2 linked regions of the Xenopus tropicalis genome follow. The protein of the gene in region 2 interacts with the protein of the main gene of each other region in a pairwise test. Links are inferred from orthologs where the notes say so. Each region holds a gene or a part of one and is shown on either strand. Other genes may lie near its edges.

Region 1 (5,028 bases), on a different chromosome or scaffold from region 2:
GCCATGTATGTGCATGCATACACACTGTACAGTGCGGTCCGACCGTTTGGATGCAGGTATGATTAATACATGATCCCTTTTATCGTTTTATAAGCACACTAATTGTGTATCCAAATGTTCAATATAGGAGCTATCCTGCCTCATTGTTTAGCTTGACTTTTTCCACTTAAATTCTCTGTATTATTATAGTATATAAATATTCTGTTATTGCTCCAATAAAATGAGAAATATACAATGTGAGTTTGCTGTGAATGAATAACATTGGCATGTTTCCAGACTGTTGTCAGTATTTGAGTCTGTATGTAATGAGGGATAACAGACTACATAGAATGAAGTAGAAAAATGCACTAGACACCATCAGCTGTTTAAGGTTGTTTTCATTCTTGTTTGACAAGAATAATGTTTCTTTAGGCTACTGCAACACAGGGTTGATAAACACAGGTCCACACAGGTGATGCTACCCCTATGCTACCAGCCTTCTTATGTGTTAGCTTCTGGAGCCACTGTGTTGGTCTGGGTGCTTAGAAATTGTGCAGATTTCAGCTCTGATACTTCTGCGTTTTGGCACCAAAATCCACACATGAGAGGGCTGATGCTAGTATAGGGGTAATTCTGAGATAAATGCAAGCCATGCCCTGTGGGGCAGTGGCCTTACAGGAGATTGTAGGTAGAATCACTAGGGTGGGGTTGTCAAGTTGTTAAACACCCATTTAATTACAGTCTGTTAAGCCAGCTGTATACAGGCCAATAAGAACTGCCATCCTGGCTGATATCTGGCCACAAATCAACATTGTTAGCACTAGGATCAGCCTGATTTGTCCCAGCACATGGGTGGCTCTTAGGCCCAGATCCACTTGTTCAGCAACCTCCACCAAACGAATGCATCTAGCAGGGTATGGCCAGCTTTTATTCCTACTCCAGGCTGGTAATCATCATAAAAAAAAAATTCACTGACAAACATACTTTTCCGTTAAGTGCCGCACTGACGTATTGCTTTCATATATTCATTCTCCTTTAGGTACATGATTACTGTAAACTAAAAATAATGTTAAGGGAAAACTAGCACTGCTTCTGTGGGGAAGAATGTTTTGAAACTCTAGTAATCATTGAAATGTTTTTATGCTGTTAGAAGTCAATGTTCTGCTTTTTAAGTACTGTATATACTCGAGTATAAGCCTAGTTTTTCAGCACCCAAAATGTGCTGAAAAAGTCACCCTCGGCTTATACTCGAGTCAGATGCCATGGGTCTCTCTAGACTAGCCCCCTCTGTCCTTTGTGTGCAAATTAAGCCACCCGCAACAAGATCCTCCAGTGCCCTGGCCTGCACCCAAATTCACTATCCTCACCTGTCCCATTCTGCACTAGGCATGGCACTTTATATTCTATATAAACTATATACAGTGTTGAAGGATTGAGCTAAGGGGTGTAGTACTCTTAAGTTATCATTGTTGATACCATATTGTTTTTGTTGACCCTCTTCTCCACTTACAGAGCTAACTTACTGTTTTTCTTTGAAATAAATATTTAAAAACATACCCCACTGATGCCTCAATTAATGTAATTTTATTGGTATTTATTTTGATTATTGAAACTTAGCAGTAGCTGCTGCATTTCCCACCCTAGGCTTATACTTGAGTCAATACGTTTTTCCAGTTTTCTTAGGTAAAATTAGGTACCTCGGCTTATATTCAGATCGGCTTATACTCGAGTATATGCGGTAGTTACTTGAGGCAAGATACTACAGCTCTGCAATTTTCATACTGGGCTAATATAGTATTAGGCTATAAGGAGCTTCTTTCTTCTGTGCAGAGCAGGGAGTGTAGAACAAAGGAAAAGTCAAATAAAATATCAGCTATCCAAAGTATTCATTTATGAAAACTTGCTTTATATTATTAATAGTAATAGGGTTTTTTTGGCTATAATTATGAGACTACTGGTAATATTTATGTTTTGTCTGTTATTTGTTTTTATTGTGCAGTTTTATGTTGGGATCTTATAATGAAGATGATGGTGCTCAGTTGTACATGGTTGATCCATCAGGCATCTCCTACGTAAGTTATAGGCATGTGAAGTTTTTCAGTTTGTTGATCATGGTTAGTAATACAAGTATGGGATCTGTTATCTGGAAACCTATTTACACAGAAAGCTCCAAATAACCGGAAGACCATCTCCTATAGCCTCCATTTAAATCAAATAATTCATATTTTTTACAATTTCTCTGTAATAATAAAACAGTACTTCATCCCAACTAAGATATAATTAATCCTTATTTGAGGCAAAACAATCCTATTGAGGTTATTTAATGTTTAAATTATATTTTACAGACTTAAGGTATAGAGATCCAAATTACAGAAGGATCCCTTTTCCCCAGTCCCATTCTGAACAGGTCCCGTACCTGTAGTTATGATTTCAAAATATATGAATGAAGCCAGTGTTTTCACACTTCAAGCAATGTTTTATGTGCAGTACAGAATATATACATATATGTAAATGTTTAGAGTTTTAGAAAAGAAAATGAATGTAAACTTTAAAAGTGCTTAGAATAGCAATTTTATGTTTGTTGGGGGTGTATACCCTGACTTTAATATAAAAATAGACTTTGCCTTAAGTGACAAAATGCAGGCAGTATTATGGGATAGAGAAATAATCTCATTGCAGGAAATGGAATGGAATTTGAAAAACTTTTATGAAGAATAGTAAGACAAGTCTTCCTGCTTGCCATCAGCTGGTTCCCTTCCAGCAGGGAGAGGTTTATAGTTACTTATATTAGAAATAGAAAATCACAGATCAAAGTCTTTGTATCTAAAGATGTATTTGGTCTGTCACTGGGTGAAATTTCATCCATTAATTGTGTTCTAAAGAAAGTTTGTTTTCTTTAGCCAGAAATAAACCACCAAGGCCCTGAAACTATATATCATTAGTTTAGGTAAAATGAGACATATATTTACAGCAAAACTGTAGGTACATTTTGCAACAGCAACATATTCTGTTTGATATGTACCATGTAAGAAAATGTTACATCGTATTTAAACAAATTAAAAATCTCTTGTTTTTTGTGTATTTCAGGGCTACTGGGGTTGCGCAATTGGTAAGGCCAAGCAGGCTGCTAAGACAGAGATTGAAAAGCTTCAGGTAGGATTTTTACCCAATCAGATATAGTGTCCTGCTAGATTTAATTGCTGTTGTGTCTGCTATGCTAGAACCCCTACGGTACTTACTTCTATAAGCATAGTGCCACACACAGCCAATATAAGAGAATGTAAGAGGAAAACAAAGTGTCGAACAAATGGCTTCAATTTGGTAATTAAGCAGCATTTCACCCTAATAACCCCTCACCCAAAATGTAATGTGAGCACTGTAGTCATTTATATCTTTTATTCATATATATATCTTTATATAAATATATATCTTTTTTTTTTTTTTTTTAATACAGATAAGCCACTGATGCAGACAATGCCTCTAGATATTATGCCTAAAGGTGGCCTAAACGGCCACCTGAAATCAGCCAGATATCAATCGGGCAGGTTAAAAATTGTAGTCCGATCGCGGACTGCAACGGCTCATTGATGCGGTCCCCGAACCGACACTGCCCATAAGCATCACTATCATTTGATCGTTTGGCCCCAAGGCCAAACGACTGAATTAGCCTACATTCGCCCAATATCGCCCACCTGTAGGTGGGGATATCGGGAGAAGGGATCTTAAAGTGTATGGCCACCGTTAGCCCCCTGGCAGCCAGAATAGCAGCTCAGCACTGCTGGGGAGAAAACATGATAATCGCCATAAAACTGCTAATTTCAAGAAAACACAACAGATCAAAAAAAAAACTATAATCTGTAAAAGACCACTATGAGCAATTTTACATAAACCTTTTTAAGGGTGTTTTGTTCTCCTTTATTGTAACTAAAATAAATACTGCAATTTCGGTAGCTAGTAGCTTTGCCGATCTGCTTCGCATTTCCTCCACTGGATCACAAACTCTAGACAAAATACAGATCAGTGCCACAGGCTATGGGAAAAAAAAACCAAATAACAGAACCTAGCGCAATATTGTTAACACTCAGTACAAACACCAGGATGTTGCAACACAATTGTGTGTGTCCAGAATCATAGAAAGTCTGTGTTTTAAGTTTGTGTGTTTTAAAGTGCTGTACTGATTATTGCAAAGTGTTATTGTGCTTCCTTTGTTTTGTAATGATACAAAACAAGGTGCTATAGTGCTTTTTTCAAAAAAATATAATAAAGTGCTACAGTGCTCTCTCCAAACAACAAATCTTAGCATGCAGCTTCTCCACTCTCCTGTGGGATTAGCAATTTACAAGATTCCTGATTTCAAAACACCATATCAGTACCAACTTCAGGGTACTCCTTTTCTCTGCAAAAAACATTAAAAAGCAGGGGCAGCGCTCCTAGTGTAATTAGCCTTTATTTTTAAAAAGATTATAAAACTTATTGCAGTTGCATAAGTCACACTGCATATCAAACAATCCCTTTCTTCAGTGTTATGACGCAGATCATGGTAATAAAGCTTTGCAGTACAAAGAGAGTGCATCCACTCACTGCCACAACTGGAAGTGATGTCACGGTGTGTATAGACTTTTTGTGGTTGTGGACACACACAGAATTGTGTTGCAAAACCCTGGTGTTTGTACTGAGTGTTAAGCTAGGTTCTGTTATTTTTTTTTTTTTTCCATAACCTGTGGCACTGATCTGTATTTTGTCGTGGGCTGAACAGACGGGGAAGCAAACACTGCTCCTTTTCTTTTTACCTCCTCATCGGCTGATTTACCATGATGTACAAGTCTACAAACTGCATTGATAGATGAAATTTTCAGTTTGGACAGACCATCTGTGATTCCATAGGAACACGTTAGTCTGTCAAAAGAGACCGAGGTGATGTACATGCCCAGACAGTCACCTAGTGTAACACCAAAAAAAGTATTTTAAAGTAATGAAAATACAATGTACTTTTTGCCCTGCACTGGTAAAACTAGTGTGTTTTCTTCAGTAATACTACTATAGTTTAGG
Region 2 (4,589 bases):
GGATAGGGACCTTAGATTGTAAGCTCACTGGGACAGGGACTGATGGGAATGGGAGAGGGACCTTAGATTGTAAGCTCACTGGGGCAGGGACTGATGGGAATGGGATAGGGACCTTAGATTGTAAGCTCACTGGGGCAGGGGCTGATGGGAATGGGATAGGGACATTAGATTGTAAGCTCACTGGGGCAGGGGCTGATGGGAATGGGATAGGGACCTTAGATTGTAAGCTCGCTGGGGCAGGGGCTGATGGGAATGGGATAGGGACCTTAGATGATTGTAAGCTCACTGGGGCAGGGGCTGATGGGAATGGGATAGGGACCTTAGATTGTAAGCTCACTGGGGCAGGGGCTGATGGGAATGGGATAGGGACCTTAGATTGTAAGCTCACTGGGGCAGGGACTGATGGGAATGGGATAGGGACATTAGATTGTAAGCTCACTGGGGCAGGGGCTGATGGGAATGGATAGGGACCTTAGATTGTAAGCTCGCTGGGGCAGGGGCTGATGGGAATGGGATAGGGACCTTAGATGATTGTAAGCTCACTGGGGCAGGGGCTGATGGGAATGGGATAGGGACCTTAGATTGTAAGCTCACTGGGGCAGGGGCTGATGGGAATGGGATAGGGACCTTAGATTGTAAGCTCACTGGGGCAGGGGCTGATGGGAATGGGATAGGGACCTTAGATTGTAAGCTCACTGGGGCAGGGACTGATGGGAATGGGATAGGGACCTTAGATTGTAAGCTCACTGGGGCAGGGACTGATGGGAATGGGATAGGGACCTTAGATTGTAAGCTCACTGGGGCAGGGGCTGATGGAATGGGATAGGGACCTTAGATTGTAAGCTCACTGGGGCAGGGGCTGATGGGAATGTGATAGGGACCTTAGATTGTAAGCTCACTGGGGCAGGGGCTGATGGGAATGGGATAGGGACCTTAGATTGTAAGCTCACTGGGGCAGGGGCTGATGGGAATGGGATAAGGACCTTAGATTGTAAGCTCACTGGGGCAGGGACTGATGGGAATGGGATAGGGACCTTAGATTGTAAGCTCACTGGGGCAGGGGCTGATGGGAATGGGATAGGGACCTTAGATTGTAAGCTCACTGGGGCAGGGACTGATGGGAATGGGATAAGGACCTTAGATTGTAAGCTCACTGGGGCAGGGACTGATGGGAATGGGATAGGGACCTTAGATTGTAAGCTCACTGGGGCAGGGGCTGATGGGAATGGGATAGGGACCTTAGATTGTAAGCTCACTGGGGCAGGGACTGATGGGAATGGGATAGGGACCTTAGATTGTAAGCTCACTGGGGCAGGGACTGAAGGGAATGTGATAGGGACCTTAGATTGTAAGCTCACTGGGGCAGGGACTGATGGGAATGGGATAGGGACCTTAGATTGTAAGCTCACTGGGGCAGGGACTGATGGGAATGATGCAGAATATGTCGGCGCTATATGAATAAAGGATAATAATACAATATGTGTTGCCTGAAGCGATAGCCAATCAGAAGCCGCTCGTGTTCCTTTACTGAAGCCTTTCTCTTCCCTCAGGGACGCGCAGCCAATAAGAATGAAGCTGAGGGTGAGAGTGAGGAAGCAGACCAATCGCTTAGAGCTGGAGGCGGAGAGTCCGACCCTGGGAGACTTGCGCAGTAAATTATCCTCCGTCACCCTGCCGGCTCTGGGCTACAGGTAATGCGCTGCCCCCCTGGGAACAGACATACAGCAGGGACACTTACCCTTTAATTATTATATCCTTCCTTTGCAGCACTGAGGCAAATTTCACCATCACACTGAATGGCAAAGATGCCCTGACTGGGGATCAGAACACTCTGGAGTCTGCGGGGATCATCTCCGGGGATCTGATTGTTGTGGTACTGCCGGACTCTCAGCTGCCCCCGCCGCAGCCAGCTCCTGCTCCGGCCCCCGATAAGCGGGATCTTGGCTGCCCCCTGGTGGATCCCAGCCAACCCTGCAGCTCGACTAACAAGAGGCCCAAGAGCCAGTCAGATGATAGCACAGGAGCCCAAGCCATGGCTCAGGTAATGTGTGCTGAGATACTACTGGTAGTACTGGTATTCCTGGTTTACTCAGTAGTAGGGATGGGTGAAATAATTCTCTACTCAGTAGCCATGGGGCATGAGACATGGGGCATGAGACATGGGGCCGGAGACATGGGGCAGGAGACAAGGGGCATGAGACATGGGGCCGGAGACATGGGGCAGGAGACAAGGGGCATGAGACATGGGGCAGGAGACAAGGGGCATGAGACATGGGGCATGAGACATGGGGCTGGAGACGTGGGGCAGGAGACGTGGGGCAGGAGACGTGGGGCCGGAGACGTGGGGCAGGAGACGTGGGGCAGGAGACGTGGGCAGGAGACGTGGGGCAGGAGACGTGGGGCTGGAGACGTGGGGCTGGAGACGTGGGGCAGGAGACGTGGGGCAGGAGACGTGGGGCAGGAGACGTGGGGCAGGAGACGTGGGGCAGGAGACGTGGGGCAGGAGACGTGGGGCAGGAGACGTGGGGCAGGAGACGTGGGGCTGGAGACGTGGGGCTGGAGACGTGGGGCAGGAGACGTGGGGCCGGAGACATGGGGCAGGAGACATGGGGCCGTAGCCATGGGGCAGTAGCCATGGGGCAGTAGCCATGGGGCAGTAGCCATGGGGCTAGAGACGGACAGGCTTATCTAATGCCCATTGGTTTTGCTGCCAGGCTGCCCAGCAAGCCCCTCCCTCAGCGGAGGACGTGGCCATGGAGGATGGGATGTCGGGCCCGGCCTGGGAGGTGATGCTCTGCAGCGAGGCACTAGATGGGAAAATCCCCCACTCCCTGGAGGTTCTGTACCAAACTGCCGGCTGCACCGGCGCCAGCGACGCGTTCATAGTCGCCATCCACCTACTGATGCTGGAGACTGGCTACTTACAGAAGGTAGGGAGTCAATATGGCCCCCCCCATCCCAGGGATCTGTGATTGGTGGGTCGGTAACCCTTCCTTGTCCCCCCCCAGGGTGCTGAAAGCAAGGTGCTGTGTATGCCGCAGGATTGGCGCAGCGGGGGGGCCTACAGGCTGCACTACACTCACCCTCTGTGCGCTGAAGTCTCGGCCACCTTGGCTTGTTTGCCGATGGGCAAGCTGGTCATAATCAATGGTGAGTATTACTTGTACTTTATCCTTCCTCTTCCTCCCAGTCTGCCAGCCCCCTGCCTTCATCTGCTGTCTGTACTGCCCCCTGCTGTGTGTGTGGCACAGGAGCATGTTAAAGAGTTAGTGCCCCACCTAGTGTACATGCATTGCATTGCAGCCTTGTATTAAAGCTCCTTCTCATTGCTCTGGTATATTCCCCCCCCCCATTCTGTTTATAGGAACCATGTGACACCAGGTCACCCATAGCACCTATAAACTCTGAATTCTAGGGTGACAGTTGCTCTTCCTGTTTGTATTCATTGCCTACAGCAGGGGTCCTCAAACTTCTTAAGCAATGGGGGGGCCAGACCACCACCTACCCCAGGGGGCTGGAACCGGCCCGTGGGCCACAGTTTGAGGACCCCTGGCCGACAGCATAGGCTCACATCTTGTTGCAATATGGCTGCCGCCATCCTCATTTCTCCTCTTTTGCACGTGCAGCCACCCTGAAGATTAACAGCGAGATGAAAAGTGTGCGGAAACTTCAGCTGTCGACCAATTCCTACATTTCCTACCCCGAGACAGGTACGGGGCAGATTCCGCCGGTAAAGGGGGTGCGGGGGCCAAAAAAATTGTCAGGAAAGGGTTAACGGATGAAGAGCCGGGATCAGAAGTTTATGTCTAAACACAAGAGCCATGCGTTTTCTGTAAACGATATCCTTTTAAATGGTGCTCTGTGATGTCATCAGTTATAATTGGTGCTCAGTGATGTCATCTGTATCACATGATGTGTTATAATAAATAAGGTACCCCCTGTTGTAAAATAGTCACCTTATATTCCGTTCCATGATCTGTATAAAAGCACTCGGCCTTTGGTGTTGTGCCTTTATATGGGCACAGAACCCCTCAGTGACTGCTAATATCCTTATCATTTACAGTAGGGGGTACATTATCCCTTATAATACATGAGTGATACTCAGAGTTCCCTGTATAACTCAGCCTGCAGCCTTGTGCCTTTATATGGGGGGCACAGAACCCCTCAGTGACTGCTAATATCCTTATCATTTACAGTAGGGGGTACATTATCCCTTATAATACATGAGTGATACTCAGAGTTCCCTGTATAACTCAGCCTGCAGCCTTGTGCCTTTATATGGGGGTCACAGAACCCCTCAGTGACTGCTAATATCCTTATCATTTACAGTAGGGGGTACATTATCCCTTATAATACATGAGTGATACTCAGAGTTCCCTGTATAACTCAGCCTGCAGCCTTGTGCCTTTATATGGGGGGCACAGAACCCCTCAGTGACTGCTAATATCCTTATCATTTACAGTAGGGGGTACATTATCCCTTATAATACATGAGTGATACTCAGAGTTCCCTGTATAACTCAGCCTGCAGCCTTGTGCCTTTATATGGGGGGCACAGAACCCCTCAGTGACTGCTAATATCCTTATCAT

Evidence for each region.
Region 1: the proteins of fbxo7 (region 2) and psma3 interact in binary tests that used the Homo sapiens proteins (3 or more experiments, as listed by UniProt). The two-hybrid records come from large-scale screens. The link is inferred for Xenopus tropicalis from reciprocal best matches to the Homo sapiens genes FBXO7 and PSMA3.

What each region holds. Positions count from the first base shown.
Region 1 is NC_030684.2:103,573,858-103,578,885, reverse strand, and holds part of psma3 (proteasome subunit alpha type-3), read left to right. Parts: coding exon 1-56; intron 57-1,978; coding exon 1,979-2,051; intron 2,052-3,066; coding exon 3,067-3,132; intron 3,133-5,028. UniProt on the Homo sapiens protein: Component of the 20S core proteasome complex involved in the proteolytic degradation of most intracellular proteins. This complex plays numerous essential roles within the cell by associating with different regulatory particles.
Region 2 is NC_030679.2:7,492,439-7,497,027, reverse strand, and holds part of fbxo7 (F-box only protein 7), read left to right. Parts: intron 1-1,550; 5' UTR 1,551-1,569; coding exon 1,570-1,691; intron 1,692-1,767; coding exon 1,768-2,041; intron 2,042-2,714; coding exon 2,715-2,930; intron 2,931-3,008; coding exon 3,009-3,150; intron 3,151-3,626; coding exon 3,627-3,710; intron 3,711-4,589. UniProt on the Homo sapiens protein: Substrate recognition component of a SCF (SKP1-CUL1-F-box protein) E3 ubiquitin-protein ligase complex which mediates the ubiquitination and subsequent proteasomal degradation of target proteins and plays a role in several biological processes such as cell cycle, cell proliferation, or maintenance of chromosome stability.